Linked DNA regions of Rhinolophus ferrumequinum. The protein of the gene in region 1 interacts with the protein of each later gene in a biochemical or structural test. Links are inferred from orthologs where the notes say so. Each region holds a gene or a part of one and is shown in the gene's direction. Other genes may lie near its edges.

What was found. The genes of interacting proteins can lie anywhere in the genome.
Region 2: the proteins of CD2BP2 (region 1) and PRPF6 form a complex in vitro, tested with the Homo sapiens proteins (2 studies listed by BioGRID and IntAct). The link is inferred for Rhinolophus ferrumequinum from reciprocal best matches to the Homo sapiens genes CD2BP2 and PRPF6.

The regions. Positions count from the first base shown.
Region 1 is NW_022680357.1:763,973-771,243, forward strand, and holds the start of CD2BP2 (CD2 antigen cytoplasmic tail-binding protein 2), read left to right. Parts: upstream 1-4,269; 5' UTR 4,270-4,427; intron 4,428-4,587; exon of another isoform or gene 4,588-4,611; intron 4,612-4,896; 5' UTR 4,897-4,927; coding exon 4,928-5,005; intron 5,006-5,244; coding exon 5,245-5,380; intron 5,381-5,497; coding exon 5,498-5,655; intron 5,656-5,757; coding exon 5,758-6,190; intron 6,191-6,271; coding exon 6,272-6,378; intron 6,379-6,452; coding exon 6,453-6,563; 3' UTR 6,564-7,271. Other genes in the region: TBC1D10B (TBC1 domain family member 10B), read left to right, coding at 13-127, 252-317, 501-690, 935-1,089, 1,172-1,807. UniProt on the Homo sapiens protein: Involved in pre-mRNA splicing as component of the U5 snRNP complex that is involved in spliceosome assembly.
Region 2 is NC_046306.1:202,938-210,741, reverse strand, and holds the start of PRPF6 (pre-mRNA-processing factor 6), read left to right. Parts: upstream 1-4,722; 5' UTR 4,723-4,913; coding exon 4,914-4,984; intron 4,985-6,559; coding exon 6,560-6,728; intron 6,729-7,583; coding exon 7,584-7,702; intron 7,703-7,804. Other genes in the region: SAMD10 (sterile alpha motif domain-containing protein 10), read right to left, coding at 13-35, 210-350, 793-964, 1,042-1,223, 2,995-3,493. UniProt on the Homo sapiens protein: Involved in pre-mRNA splicing as component of the U4/U6-U5 tri-snRNP complex, one of the building blocks of the spliceosome.

The DNA.
Region 1 (7,271 bases):
CCATACTCACAGGCAACAGGACCTGTACCGAATCCTGAAGGCTTACACCATCTACCGGCCCGACGAGGGCTACTGCCAGGCCCAGGCCCCGGTGGCCGCCGTACTGCTCATGCACATGCCTGCTGAGGTCAGCACCCCGGGGCCCGGGCTGGGGGTTGCGGGGGGGACCGGGGGGACGCCTGGTGCTGGCGGGGGGCATCCTCTGCCCGATTCTCAGGCCCCATCATCCCTCCCACTCTCGCCCTTCTCAGCAAGCCTTTTGGTGCCTGGTGCAGATCTGCGACAAGTACCTCCCTGGTTACTACAGTGCAGGGCTGGTGAGTGTGGGGCGGCTTGGCGCTGGGGCTGTGACTGTCCCCAAGCACAGGGAGGCCCTTGTCCCCCCCCCGCCCCTGTCCCTCTGCACAGGGCTCTCCCACTGAGGTGAGGATCCCCTGCTCGATCGGTCGGACCCCACGGGGGCCACGGCGGGCCTCTCCTCACGGCTCGTCCACCTCCAGGAGGCCATCCAGCTGGATGGTGAAATTTTCTTCGCGCTGCTACGCCGGGCGTCCCCGCTGGCTCACCGGCACCTGCGGCGACAGCGTATCGACCCCGTGCTCTACATGACCGAGTGGTTCATGTGCATCTTCGCCCGCACGCTGCCCTGGGCCTCTGTGCTGCGCGTCTGGGACATGTTCTTCTGCGAAGGTGCGAGCCTGTCAGGCCAGGGGGGCCGGGCTCCCACTGACCCAAGGTGCTTGGTGGGCCTGGTCTCGGCTCTGCGGCCAACCCGGAGCCTGTTCTCCCTGCCAGGAACCTGAAGCCCCTGGCGGCTCATTTCCCTGCTGGGCCTTAGTTCCCTCACCCCTAAGGTTGGCGGGGTGGGGCGGAGTGCCTCCTAACCGAAGGCTGGGACCCAGGCCCCATCTCCCCACTGTCTCCTCGGCCACAGGCGTCAAGATCATCTTCCGGGTGGCCCTGGTGCTGCTGCGGCACACGCTGGGCTCCCTGGAGAAGCTGCGCGCCTGCCAGGGCATGTACGAGACCATGGAGCAGCTGCGCAGCCTGCCCCCGCAGTGCATGCAGGAGGACTTCCTGGTGCATGAGGTAAGCCCTGGCCGTGACTCAGCCTCGCCTGCTGCAGGCCAGCCGCACCGTCATTGCATCTGGCACCCACTTCTCCATCCAGGTGACGAACCTGCCAGTGACAGAAGCACTGATTGAGAGAGAGAACACCGCCCAGCTCAAGAAGTGGCTGGAAACCCGGGGGCAGCTGCAGTACCGGCCCTCCCGGCGACTGCACGGTTCCCGGGCCATCCATGAGGAGCGCCGGCGACAGCAGCCCCCCCTGGGCCCCTCCTCCAGCCTCCTCAGCCTCCCTGGCCTCAAGAGCCGAGGCTCCCGGGCAGCTGGGGGGGTGCCCTCTCCGCCCCCTCCCGCCCGCAGGGCCAGTGTTGGGCCTGCCCCGGGGCCTGTGATCACCGCTGAGGGACTGCATCCATCTCTTCCTTCTCCGACTGGCAACAGCACGCCACTGGGTCCCAGCAAGGAGACCCGGAGGCAGGAGAAGGAGCGGCAGAAACAGGAGAAGGAGCGTGAGAAGGAGCGGCAGAAACAAGAGAAGGAGCGGGAAAAGCAGGAAAAGGAGCGGCAGAAGTGGGAAAAAGAGCAGGAGAAGGAGCGGCAGAAGCAGGAGAAGGAGAAGCAGAAGAAGGGCCAAGGCAGGAAGCTTTCCCTGCGTCGAAAGGCCGACGGGCCCCCAGACCCACAGGATGGTGGCGACCGGGCCTCCTCATCTGAGGCCCGCCAGGACACTTACTTCTGACCTCTGCCCCGGGGCTGGACTGCATGGCCCCCCTTTTTCCCTCAGCCAAGAGCAGGCCCCTGGGCAGACTGTCCTTTTCTGGGGAAGGTGGCTTGTTCCCCGTCCCCTTGCCAGCTGCTGATCCTACAGCCAGGACAGTCAGAACATGGGGCATGGGACAGCTCCGTTCCCTGGGGCAGCCGTGACACATCTGGGGCCCCGCACCTCCAGTTAGGCCCAGCCGGGGTCTTTGTCACTCCTGCCCCGGTTCCCTGTGGGGTCCCTTCCCAGGTACTGTCCTGATTGGCCTTCTGTCACCACAGGGGTGACTCCTGGCGATGGGAGCCAGCAGTTTTCAGATTCTTACACTCCACTTGCTCCCCTCATTCATGAAGCGGAGCCGAGTTCCTCTTTCCCCTTCTTCAGTCCTGCTTGTCTCCACTTCCTGGCCGGGGCCCAAGGCCCTCCTTGTTCAACGTGGACATCTCGGGGTTGTAATGACGAACAGAGGACCCGGTCAGCCCAGGGTGGGGTGTCCGCTCTGTCTTCCGTCCTTCGGTTCTTCCGCAATGTTCTTGTACTCCCGATTTATTTAATGGGACATGCACTGGAATAGGAAATGTCCCGCAGTCCTGGCTCTTCTTCCTGTTCCTCCTCCTTCCTCTGTATTCTCAGGCTTCCCCTGCTTTGTCTCACCAGGGCCCACACCTTTCACCTTGTTCCCTTCCAACCTTCCAGCCCCTCTCTGGGAAAGGGGTCTTCCCTTAAGCTCCCGGGGGTGGAACCCAATGTTTACATTCTCTTCTGTCTCTGCCCCCACCCGACGCAGCGCTTTGAGAAACCAGAAAAGATCCTGCTGTTGTACCTGGGCCTGTCTCCTGCCTTGTTATTTGACGAAGGCGTTAGAGTAAGAACTAGGGATACAGGAAGCGGCTTTTGAGCCAGAATCGATTGAAGCAGTCAGCTGGTCGTGGCCGTTGGTACCCCTCGGCCTTTGGTCCACTTCACCCATCAACAGTTGTTGAGCTCCTGCTCCAGCTTTTCTGGGATCTGCTGCCTCCATTGTCAGTGGCCTGAAGCCCTCTACGTATCACCTGCAGCACCCAGATGTCCTTCCCAAACTGCTCATGCAACTCCTGGGAGCTGAGGGGGGGGACAGAAGGGGGCTAGAAAGCCACAGCCCTCGGGGTGAGCTGGGCAGTCTTGGCCCACTGCCTGGCACAGCTCCCAGTACTTGGCCTCCAGGGAGCAGCCAGCTGCCTCCAGCCAGTGTCCACGGCCAGGCTCCCAGCTCCTCGTTGTCTGCTGCCAGCTTGTAGGCCTGCCCCCCTTCTGCACCGTCTACCCCAGGGGTCAGGTTGGTAAAGGCCTAGGGGTCTGTAGCTCCACCGGGCAGTTCAACGGAATGAGGCCCAGGGGTGTACTTCGTGCTCCTGGTACAAGTGTCCCCAGAGGATGTACCAGTGGCACTGGGAGCTGGTATTTCAGACCCTTTAGGGAGATGCCCTCTCAGTCTGGAGTGTGTGTTCTGGACCCACCCATGGAAGAAACTGCGGTTTCATGGGAGTCCAATCTGGGAGGAAACACCGGGGGCAGGAGACCGGAGGGCTGGTTCGTCGTTTCCTGGGGACCGATGGTTCCAGTAGGCTCTTCCTGGGCACAGCCTTAGCCTAGTGGGATTCAGACTCCCAGTGTCCTCAAGAGCTAGAGGGCGTGTCCCCACAGCACTGGGACCCACTGCTCCCACATCCCCACCACAGTTCTGCCTGTCGGCAGGGGCCTAAGGCAGGGGCTTTGAGAGGCGCTGCTGCACTTTTCCAGGCCTACTTGACATCCGGGCACGCGGGGCTTCTGACCCATGTACTGGGCATAGGTGCCACTGCCACCTCTCCGGTTAGGGCTCTTCCCACCTCAGAAACGAGGGGATGGTGGGAGGGGGGCGGGGAGTGATGGTAAATGGCCCCCCTTGGGTCCTGAAGGGAGTTGGGTTCGGAAAGCGCCCCACGGGCGGTCGGGGGCCTCCAGGCGGGCCATCAGGAGAGCCGGGCTTCCCCTCAGGGAGAAGCGCAAAGCTGCACCTTGAACCAGGAGAACGCAGACAGCTGGACGCTGAGGGGGCAGGCCAGGTTTCCACTGAGATGGTGAGGGGCGCAGAGCCTTGGCCAGCCCTGGGGAAGATGGCGCAACCCTGGGAAGGGAAATCAGAGCGGGAACCCACTGGCCCTGCTCGGATCTTGCCGTCCGCCACACCCCGGGCGCCCGATTAGATAGAATTCGCTCCACTTTCTCCCCAGCGCTTCTAGGGCTGTGAGCCACCGCTCCACTTCCGGCCACCCTCGCGTCCCATCCTGAGCCATCCCTCCACTTCCGGCCACCCCTCGCGTCCCATCAGGGTGTAGGCATTCTCCAGTGCCCTCTGCTCGTCGTTCCGTCCCACGCAGCTCGAGTCACTCCTCGGGGGGAGTGTGCCTTCCCCGGCTCCTCGGACTTCCGCCCACCCGCTCTCGCCAGACTGAAGCCACTTCCGGCCCTCCTGGCGCCTTCCGCAGTTCTCTTCCGGGTGATGGCGGCCCGGTGCCCCGGATGCAGCCCTAGCGGAAGCTTCGCTCCTTGCCTTCCCCCACCTTCCCGGGGTCCCTAGGTGAGCGCGCGCCGGTGGCACTGCTGGGGTCCCTGGGGCTCTGGCGCCTCTCATTTGTACACAGAGCCCGGCACAGTCGGGGGTCACCCCGCGGAATTGGGAGTTCGTCGCGGGGAGAAGCGGGGCGGCCAGGACGCCAGATCCCGGGTCCGCCCGAGCCTCACGAGCTCCGAGGGAACTGGCGGTGGGGGAGCAGCGGGTGTTAAGCCGGGGAGCGGCGTCGCGCCCGGGATGCCAGGGCTGGGGATGGGGGTGGTCACGTGGGGGAACTGCTCGGGGCTCCCGCCTCTCCGGCTCGGCTGCAGCCAGTCTGTCGGATGCCAGACCAGGTTCCGGGGCCTCTTGCCTGTCAACGCCCCTTTCGGCCCCTATTTCTGTACCAGGGGAAACAAACGTTTGCTGCGCTGGGGCCCTCTCGCGGCGAACCTCCTCCTCGCCCGGTTCCCTTACTCTGCGTCCTTTCTCTCAGCTCAGCTCGAGGCAGGTCCCTCGGTCCAGCCATGCCAAAGAGGAAGGTGACCTTTCAAGGCGTGGGAAATGAGGATGAGGAGGATGACATCAGTGTACCCAAGAAGAAGGTGAGGGGGCCAGACTCCTGCGTCGTAGGGAGGAGTGAGGGGGAGAGAAAAGAAACGAGGAGCCCGAAGAGGGAAAAAGCGTGGGATACAAAAAGGGCAGAAAGGAAAGGACTAGCTTCGCCGTCTTCTCTGAGAAATGGGTTTGGGAGATTGTCAGTTTGAGTCCAGATCCTAGAGCATTTTGAGGACTAAGCCGGTAGGTAACCTGCCTCTCTCGACCGGCTGGCTCCTGCTCACAGCTCGTGGACCCTGTGGCCGGGGCAGGAGGGCCTGGGAGCCGCTTCAAAGGCAAACACTCTTTGGACAGCGATGAGGAGGACGACGAGGAGGAGGGGTCCAGCAAATATGACATCCTGGCCTCGGAGGACGTGGAAGGTGAGGTCTACGGAAGCATTGATTCTGCTGCGGGAACGAACCGGCTTCTGGGACGTGGGCCAGGGCTCCTTCTGTCACCGTCGCATGCTTAGTGTGAAATGCCTGTGTTGGGTGCAGGTCAGGAAGCGGCCACACTCCCCAGTGAGGGAGGTGTGCGGATCACACCTTTCAATCTCCAGGAAGAGATGGAAGAAGGCCATTTTGATGCGGACGGCAACTACTTCTTGAACCGAGAAGCTCAGATCCGAGACAGCTGGCTGGACAACATTGACTGGGTATGGCTCGGGGGCTGGCGGGGCCGGGCCGGAGGCGGCAGGTGCTTGGGCTCTGCGGGCAGTTTGTCAGAAATAATCTCCGTGTTCTCTCTCACGGTACAGGTGAAGATCAAGGAGCGGCCACCTGACCAGCATCCACCATCGGACTCCGACGAGGAGGATAACTTGGGCCAGACACCCATGAGCGCCCAGGCACTCCTGGAGGGCCTCCTGGAGCTGCTGCTGCCCAGAGAGACAGTGGCTGGGGCCCTGAGGCGTCTGGGGGCCAGAGGAGGAGCCAAAGGGGGCAGTAAGGGGCCCGGACGGCCCTCTTCCCCCCAGCGCTTGGACAGGCTCTCGGGGTTGGCTGACCAGATGGTGGCTCGGGGCAACCTTGGTGTCTATCAGGAGACAAGGGAACGGCTGGCCATGCGTCTGAAGGGGTTGGGGTGCCAGACCCAAGGACCCCCTGACTCCATCTCCCCACCTTCTCTGGACATGTTTGCTGAAGAAGTGGCAGAGGAGGAGCTGGTGACCCTGTCCCCTGCCCAGAGAGGTGAGCTTGAAGGGCAGAGGCGGGGTCTTGTGGGCAGGGGCATGGCGCTGGAGGCCCACACGGCTTTGCCTGTGATTGTAGAAGCAGAGTCGCTCGGAGACGGGCTGGAGGACGTGATGTGGGAGTATAAGTGGGAGAACACGGGGGATGCTGAGCTGTACGGGCCCTTCACCAGCACCCAGATGCAGGTAAACCCCTTTTCGCCTCCTTTCTGCCCTCGCACCCATCAGTCCTCCACCAGCTCTGCCCTCTCTCCCCGCAGACCTGGGTGAACGAAGGTTACTTCCCGGATGGTGTGTATTGCCGGAAGCTGGACCCCCCTGGTGGACAGTTCTACAACTCCAAGCGTATTGACTTTGATCTGTATACCTGAGCCTGCCGAGGGCCCAGTTTGGGGGCCCCTTCTTTCATGGACTCTGGAGGAGGCCCCAGCTGCCTCAGGCAATGAGGATATCGGGGGCCTCTTTTCAGTCAGTTTTCTTTCCCAATAAAAGCCTGTAGTTGTGTATTAAGGCCTCGGCTGTGCTGATGGCCGGAAGCCAGGGATCCCCTACAGCCCCTTTGGACTTGTTTCAGCCCTTGACTGTTTCCTCATGAAGTTCTTCTGTGGGAGTTTCTGGTCCCTTGAACCATCTCACCGTTGACCAATCCTAGAGGCAGAGCCAGGATGTCAGGTGTCCTGTGGCCTCCCCACCTGGCCTCTGCTTACCACCTAAAAATCCCTTCACGCACATACTATTCTCCGGTACCCTCTGGGGGTTCCTGTTGCTGTTCTGAGGTCTTTGGCTTTTAGGATCTCAGTTAGCATGTCCTGGCAGCCACTACAGAACGGAACTCCAGAAGGGGCGTTTTAGGCCTCGAAGGGCTGGGACAGCAGTTGGGCGTGAGCAGGAAGCCTAGTACTCACTGGCTCCCACTGTCTCAGGCTCCTTAAGTGACATGCAGGCTCAGTGTTAGCACAAGGTCACCTGATCCTGCCACCCATCGACTAGGCACAGAGTAGGGCAGCATGTCATTGGAGGGGCACACAGTGAGTCAGAGGCCAGTAGGCTCGCTTCCCAGACGTTTTTTGGTACTAGGT
Region 2 (7,804 bases), on another chromosome or scaffold:
CTCAGGCAGCAGCTAGGACATGTTTCCGAAGGAAGCTATGGGTGGATGGGGTGAGGAGTGGGGGTCTCTGGCATCGTCCCCTCTGCCATGGGCTCAGGATGGCCCTTACTGGGGTCCCACACCAGAGTCCCGCCACCCACCCTACACTCAGGCCTCCAGCCCCGCCCCCCTCCCCGGCCTCTACGGCACTCCTGGCTCCTCCCACTGACCTTGGCTGAGCAGCTGCAGGCTCCGCCCCTCTTCGCGCACCTGCAGGCGCAGCACCTGCTGCAGTACCTCCTGCCGCTGCGCCTCCTGCGCCAGCCCCATGCGCTGCAGCTTCTCTGCGTTCAGCCGCAACAGCGCCCGGCCTGGGGGCAGGGAGAGGGGCGGGGCCGAAGTCAACTTCCGGTGGGCAATCGGAGCCAAGGCGGGGGGGGGGGGGGGGAGGAGGGGGCCGGGACTCAGAAACAGAGAGGGAGACTGAGGAAATGTGGGGAGGGACACGGAGACACATAGATGCAGAAAGACGGGGTGGGGGGGCGGGAGGGGGATGGGGGGAAGGGGAGGAAGAAAGAGAGGAAATGGGCAGGGAGACAGACACACAGATGCGGAGAGAAAGGCAGGGAGAGGCAGAGGAAAGCCAGATGAAGACACAGAGAGGCTGGGAAACACAGTGGCAGGTTCCGCAGAGACAAAGACCGGAGGAGAGGCTGACTCAGGAGGAAACAGGAGAGGGTAGGAAGAGGAGAAAGGACAGGCTCGCCTGGGATCCCCGTGCCCCCAGCCCCATAGCCCCCAGCCCCACAGCACCGGTGATGGCGTGCTGGGAGAAGGCCTCCACGTAGACGAGGTAGTTGTGGGGACAGTGCTTCTTGAGCCACTTGCAGACGTCCTGCTGACTCCACAGGACCACAGGCCTCGTCAGGCCACCCAGTGAGGGACTCGTGTGGTACAGGCCACAGTGGTCAGAGTACAGCCAGCCCTGTGAGGGAGAGGGGTAGCAGATAGAATGAGGTGGTGGGGATGGCCGGGGCTGAGATGGGTACGGTGGCTGGGTACCTGGGGGGTCTCTGTGCCAGGCTGCTGCAGGAGCTTGACTGGCCGGCCACCTGCTGCCCTCTGACTGCGTGAGTCATGCCATGTGAGGCTGGTGCCTGGTGTCCTAGGCAGGTGGCAGGGGATGCTCTCGGTGGACACCGTGTGCTCCAGGAGGGTCCGGCAGAAGCTGAAGTGGGCAGTGGCTGCAGAGGAGGGGTGCCTGGTCAGAGTGGTCAGGGGCCCAGCCAGAGGCTCCCCTCGTCACTCAGCCCATCTCCCCTCCACTGAAGAAGGAGCCACTTTCCCAAAGGCAGAAGGAAGCATCGAGAGCTGTCTTGAGGGCCCCACCCAGCCCAAAGCTGAAGAACTGGAACACCTGTACCCTCCAAGTCCACAGTACATGTTCTGGGGAGCCAAATGGATTCTTAGAGAGAGCGGACGCCCACCGGGAAGCCTAAGACTTACAGCCAGGGGTAGGGCTCTTCTGGGACAGCCCTCACCTCATGCTTGCCTTGGGCTGGCACATGCCACACCTAACGAGGGTGCACACACAGGCCCTTCCTACGAGGAAACATTGGACCGGTGTCCTGGGAGGCCCGTGAGGACCGGTGTCCTGGGAGGTATGGTGAGGAGACCCCCTGGGTGCACTGCGGGCCCATCGCCACGGATTGTGCCATCTCTGCAGACATCCCTGCCACGTGAGGTTTGGCCCTGCCCAGCTGTGCTCACTGGTTGTGACTCATGGACAAGAAGCCTAAACTCTGGGCAAGCCAGGACCTGGGATTCCTGCTCCCCCACCTCCCACAGGGTCGCCAACCCAGGGTGACTGCTGTGCATGGTGGGTCTGCAGCCGCCATGGGCCGCTCAGCACAGGCCCATAGGCTGCAGCCATGTGCTCAGGGACCCCTAGTGACACCTGGAGCTCTCTTCCCGTACCAACTTCATTACACTCGTCAACACTTTGGTTTTATCATCATTTCTGGGCTGGCTGCTGACCTGAGTGGGGGAGGAGCAGTCGCCTGTTCACTGCCCCTCCCAAGACCTTGCACAGGTCCTGGTGCAAAGGAGGTGCCCAGAAGTGTTGTGATGAATGAACGGATGGACGAAGGTTCTGTGTGATGTGCATCTTTACAGCATCCAGGTCCTCACTCAGCAGGGAGACCTTCCTTCCCACGGACACAGCCCCCCACCCCTCGGGCAGGATTTGGCCCTGTGCCTAGGTCTCAGTAATGGGGGAAACCCACATCTTGCTCCCCTCCTTCCACCCCATTCCTGCAACTTTCCACTACCAAATAACCACAGGTGCCTGTAAATTTGAGGTCTAGGGTCAGACTGAGAGTGTGGACGATGCCTCGAGGTGGCTTCTAGTACCGTGGGAAAAGAATTAAAGCCGAGACCTTTCAGGGGACAGGCCCTGGGTCGCATCGCCTTGCCTCGCCTCGCCAGGGCCCGGCCTGGGTAAACCAGTCGGACACCTCCGTGGGCGTCTCACCTGTCCCGGGTCAACGGGACCCGCCCATTTCCTGCCCGCGCTGGGGGGAGGGATCTCTGTGGGTACATCCGTCCTTCCCTCCCTCCCTCCCAGCCCCAACGTCATAATTCCCGTAGAAAATGGGGTGGGGGCGCACGATCCCGGCTGTGGCCCCAGCCCCTTCTTCGCTCCAACGCAAAGGCTGGGAGGGTTTTCTCCGCGCGCGGAAAAAAAAGGTGACCGCACGGTAGTGCGGGCCTGGGGACAGAAGCCCCGGCCGGTGACCTCCCCCAAGCCAAGGGTGCGCTGATCCCCAAGGCCTAAGGCCGCCCCACCTCGCCCCCAGCGCAGCACAAAGACACAAGAGACCCCAGATCCGTCAGGACGCGCCCCCCTCTCTGTCCACTGCCGCCGCTCAAGTCCGCCAGGTCCCGCCCCCGTCCCTCTCGGTTCCCAAGCCCCCAGCCCACGATATCCCTGCGCCCGGATTCAGCCCGGCTCACCGTCCACATCCCGGCGCTCCCCGAAGCCGGCGCGCACAGCCCCGGCGCGGCCTCGCGGGGGGCTCAGCTTGGTCCTCAGCTCCGTGAACATGGGGCCCGCGGGGCCCGGGCCCGTGCACACGCCCCTCGCCGGGCGCAGGGCGGCCCGAGTGGCCGGCGGGGAACGCGCGCCACCGCCCCGCCCCAGCCGGCCCCGCGCCGGAGCCGGTCCCCGCGCCCGGCGAGTCTGCGCGGCGAGGCACCTGCCGCTGAGCCCTGAGAGCTGGGCGCGCTCCGGGAGCTCCGAGGTGTGTCGGCGGCGCGCGGGTCTGCGTATGCAGAGTGTCTGCCAGGGCAAGGGGCGTCCCTGCGCACCTGGGCATGGCTCCAAGGACGAGTGACTGGGCACCTTTAGGGGTCCAGGCGTCTGCAGGGCCCTCTGAAGCAGGGAAGTAAGGACACATTCCGCGTGTGTGTGTGTGTGTGTGTGTGTGTGTGTGGTGGAGGGCCTCCTACCCATCCTGGGACCTTCTGCCCCCTGGGGCCCAGGTCAAGGATTAGACCCATCCCTTCAAACCACTTCCCTCCATTTTTCTACCTTAGTTTTCTCCTTTAATTCACATTCTCCAGACCTCTCCAGAGGTCTCTCCCTCAAATGGGCACTTGCTTCCCCAGAGAAGTCAGTTTGACTCTCTCTTATCTCATCACACTGAACTCTAGGAGGACAGCCAGCGTCTCTCCCTTTCCTTCTGTAGCCCCAGAATCGGATTCAGTGCCCAAGATGTGGCTCTGAAAGGGGCTTGGCTGGGGACAGGGAGGAGCAACCCCAAGGAGGCTGCAGCAGGCAGGAGGGATGTGTTTGCTGCAGGACGCCAGTGAGAAGAGCTAGGGTGGGCTGGGGCTGTCTGGGCCAGCACAAGGCCAGACTTGGGACCTGAGTTTTGCCTGCTCTGCCAGGAGCCTGAGTGCTCTCCCAGGTATGTGTGGGGGCCAGAGGATGTCCCATAGCGGAGTGTGCTAAGGTGCACGTGGCCACCCAGAAATGTATGCAGAGTACAGTCAGGCATGCCCATGACACCCACAAGTAGAGATTGGCATGGAATTCACCCAAATTCTGTGATCGCCCACGCCCATATACTGACTCTCCCGACATATACCCGCCGCATTTATTTATTTCCATTAATTAGCTCAACAGGTGGGCTCTTGCCCTCACTTGAACCTTCAGGGTATTATGGGACTGTGAGTGGGGACCTGTGCTGGAATTGGAGCTCAGGAATCCGAGTCCTGAGAGCCAAGGCAGCAAGCAGTCTGTACACAGGAGCACACACAAACAGGTGTGCTCACAGTCGTGACACATACACTCCGCACAAGCTCTACACAACTGGATAGCTGTGCAGCACCCCTCAGATGTGTTATGGCCTGCCCCGGGGCCAGGGCGACTCTGAAGGGCAGGGTGGGTAGCTAGGGCTCAATCCTAGGGCTCCCTGGCAGCTGGGCTGGCTCAGAGAGGGAGGGGACCCACGGGTCCTACTGGTACAGGCAGGTCTCCTTGGAATGCATCGAGAACACGCAGTAAGCAAGGGTGCCCAGGCTCAGTTTCCAGGTCCCTGGAGGTTTGTCCAGAAAGGCGTCGCCCCTGGACCTCCGGCGGGGCTGTCCGCCGGCCCTCCTCGCCACAAGGGGGCGCTCTCGCTCACGCACCTGCCGCATCTCCGTCCCTCAGCCGCGGCCGGAAGTCGCCCAGCCGCGTTTCCGGAACTTCCGCCCGTGGAATCCGAGGCGGCCGGAGCTTCGTGCCGACCTGGCGCTCTGCTTCCGGGGCGCGGGTGACGCGGGGCGCGCGACCTCTTCCTGCAGTGAAACCTCGGACGTCTGTGGTGTTTTGCCTCCCGCCGCGGTCTCCGTCCTTTCCCTTCCCGGCCCTTGTCGTCACCTGCGCCATGAACAAGAAGAAGAAGCCGTTCCTGGGCATGCCCGCGCCGCTCGGCTACGTGCCGGGGCTGGGCCGAGGGTGAGCCCCGGGGCGCGCGGCGCGGCCCTGGGCCCCGGGGCCCGGGTCCCGGCGGGCGCGCCCTTGGGGAAGGGGCACAGGGCCGGTCTGTCCTAACCCCCCACGGCGACGGGGAGACGAGAAGGGACAAAGGCGGGTTGCTTGCTTTAAGCTTTGTAGGAAGAATCGTTCTTGGGGTTAGGACAGACCCGAGCGAGTCCCGCCAGTTACCTAGGAGCGGGGTGACTGCGTTTAGCTACGCCTTGGCTCTGAGCCCCTTTTGGTGTCTAAGATGGGTGACAACACCGTTTCGCAGATCTGCCGTGAGCAGCAGCTCAGTTCCTGACGTGTCTACCGTGGGAACGCGGCGGCTCCTCTCCGCGGGCCCGGCAGACGCGCACCCACCCCCAGCCCCGCCTTACGCAGTTCCCGGGAACCCCGGCGCGATTCCTCTGTGGCCGCTCATCGCGCCACATTCTTTCCCTGTAGAGTCGTTGGTCACATACTGTTTGTTCAAACTCTCAGCTCCCGGGAGCAGGGATGGCATCTTTGAGGCTTGTGACAGAGTCCTCCCTGCCTGTCACACAGACTGCGACCGTAAATTGTTGAGTAAATGAGCAGTCATTTTCATCCTGTTTGGTTAGTCATCTGATTAGGAAGACTACTGGGTTTCTCTTGTCGAGGATGGTACCGTATGTTAGAATCTGTGGAGGACACAGAAGTGTCAGATAGTGGCACCATCTTCAGGGGACCTGCACTCTGCTAGGCGAGGTGAGGTATATGCATAAGTAAGTACATAAAGAGGAACAGATTTAGGATTGGGGTTCCAGTGATCAGGGAATGCTCGATGCAGTGCTAGCATTTAAGCTAAGTTTAGAAGGCAAGATGCATTTAGGGATGTAGACATGTAGCAGGTTATAGGAGAAACCGATGTTTTGTGTGTCGCGCAGTTAGGAAAAAAGATGAGGCATGGAGGGAGATGAGGGGATAGCAGGGAGTCCATGGGGCTGGGATGTGCAGGGAGCAGAGCTCCTGTGGGCATTGCAGAGGTGGTCCCTCAGGCCTGCGCTCCAGCAGAGGGAGACTCGGTACAGGGAGGCCAGCTTGGTTCCGAGGCCTGGGACCAGGGATTTGGAGGAAGACAGTACAGCTCCGTGGCAGGTGGGAGGGAGAGGGAGGCAAGCCAGGTGTCTGCCTAGGTGCCCTGGGCAGCACTGCCGTCGTCTGTGGAGACAGCCCCAAGCAGCTGCAGGGCAGGCACAGAAGAGGAGCTCTGACTGGGTCAGGTTGGGTGTGAGGGCCTGCTTGGATGGGGAAGCTGTTGGAAATGGGAAACTGGGACTTTGGGGGAGGGCTGATGCCCTGACAAGTCTCAAGGAGAATATGGGGACAAGATGGCCTTAGTGATCCCTTGGGGGGGGCAGGAGGTTTCCTGTTTGAAGAGAGCAGACTGGGAGTGTTTGAGAGCATGGCCACGCGTATCTCACTCCACCAGGACCTTTGGAGATTTCCCAGAGGTGTTAAGTGACAGCAGTGGAGGGAAGAACACAGGAACAGGGTCACCCAGATCAAGGAGTATCTTGGGGTCTCTTGCAGCGCCACTGGCTTCACCACCCGGTCAGACATTGGGCCCGCCCGGGATGCCAATGATCCCGTGGATGACCGCCATGCACCTCCAGGCAAGAGGACCGTAGGGGACCAGATGAAGAAAAGCCAGGCTGCAGACGACGACGACGAGGATCTGAACGACACCAACTATGACGAGGTGACCTGTGCTGGGCTCCCCGGCCAGCCTGCAGAAGGCCGGCCAGCTTCTTAACACGGTGGCATCTGTGATGAGTGGCTTGGCCTGGCTGGCCCATTTCCTGTTTCAGCTCAGGAAATGTCTCCCTGAGACACCTTCAGGGTGTCTCCCTAGCAGAGTGTGAGAGGGGAGTAGGAAGAGTACAAAGAAACGTACACTTTTGTTTTCTCTTCAGAAGACGTTTACTGAGAACCACTGCATTGGCATTTTATCCTGGCCAATGAAAATTTAAATGGAATTGGTGATAATGTTTGCTTTCCTTTGCTTTAGTGCTTACTCTCTTAGTTAATTGGTGTTTGGTCAATTGAAGTTTTCTTCAGATATGTTCTAACAGATGGCATTTTTCTCAGAGGAAAAGATTTGAATACTTTACTTCTGAAATAATTTTAAATTTACAGGGAATTTGCAAAAATAACATGGAGAATTTCTGCATACCCTTCACAAGTTTCTCCCCATCTTACATGGCCTTAATACAATTACTGAAACAGGAAATTAACACAGCACTCTTAATTAGTCTAGTGTATTGTTTGAACCCCACTGGTTTTTCCATCTGTAGCCTCCGTCAGGCCCCAGGCCTACCACCGGCTTCCATTGTGCATGTAGTTGTGTTTCCTTGGGCTCCTCCAGTCGGGATAGTTCCTCCTGACACTTTTGAAGAGTACTGGTCAGTTATTTTGTTACTCCTCGGTTTGGGTTTATCTGATTGAAAAATATTGTTTAGCAAGCATTTTGCAACTGGTAGTGTTCTCTGTTTCTCCTGGTGGGGATTAAGTTGGAAGAGAAGCTGATCCTCCAAATATGTTGTTTGGTTCTTAGTTTAACGGCTATGCTGGGAGCCTCTTCTCAAGTGGGCCCTACGAAAAAGACGACGAGGAAGCAGATGCTATTTATGCAGCTCTGGACAAAAGGATGGATGAAAGAAGAAAAGAAAGAAGGTAAAACTAGTTACTGCCCTTCACTATCTCTGTCCGACTCTGAACAAAAGTGTTGTTTGACTTATGTGAGACTTGGAGAAAAGTTGCAAGAACAGTGCGTGT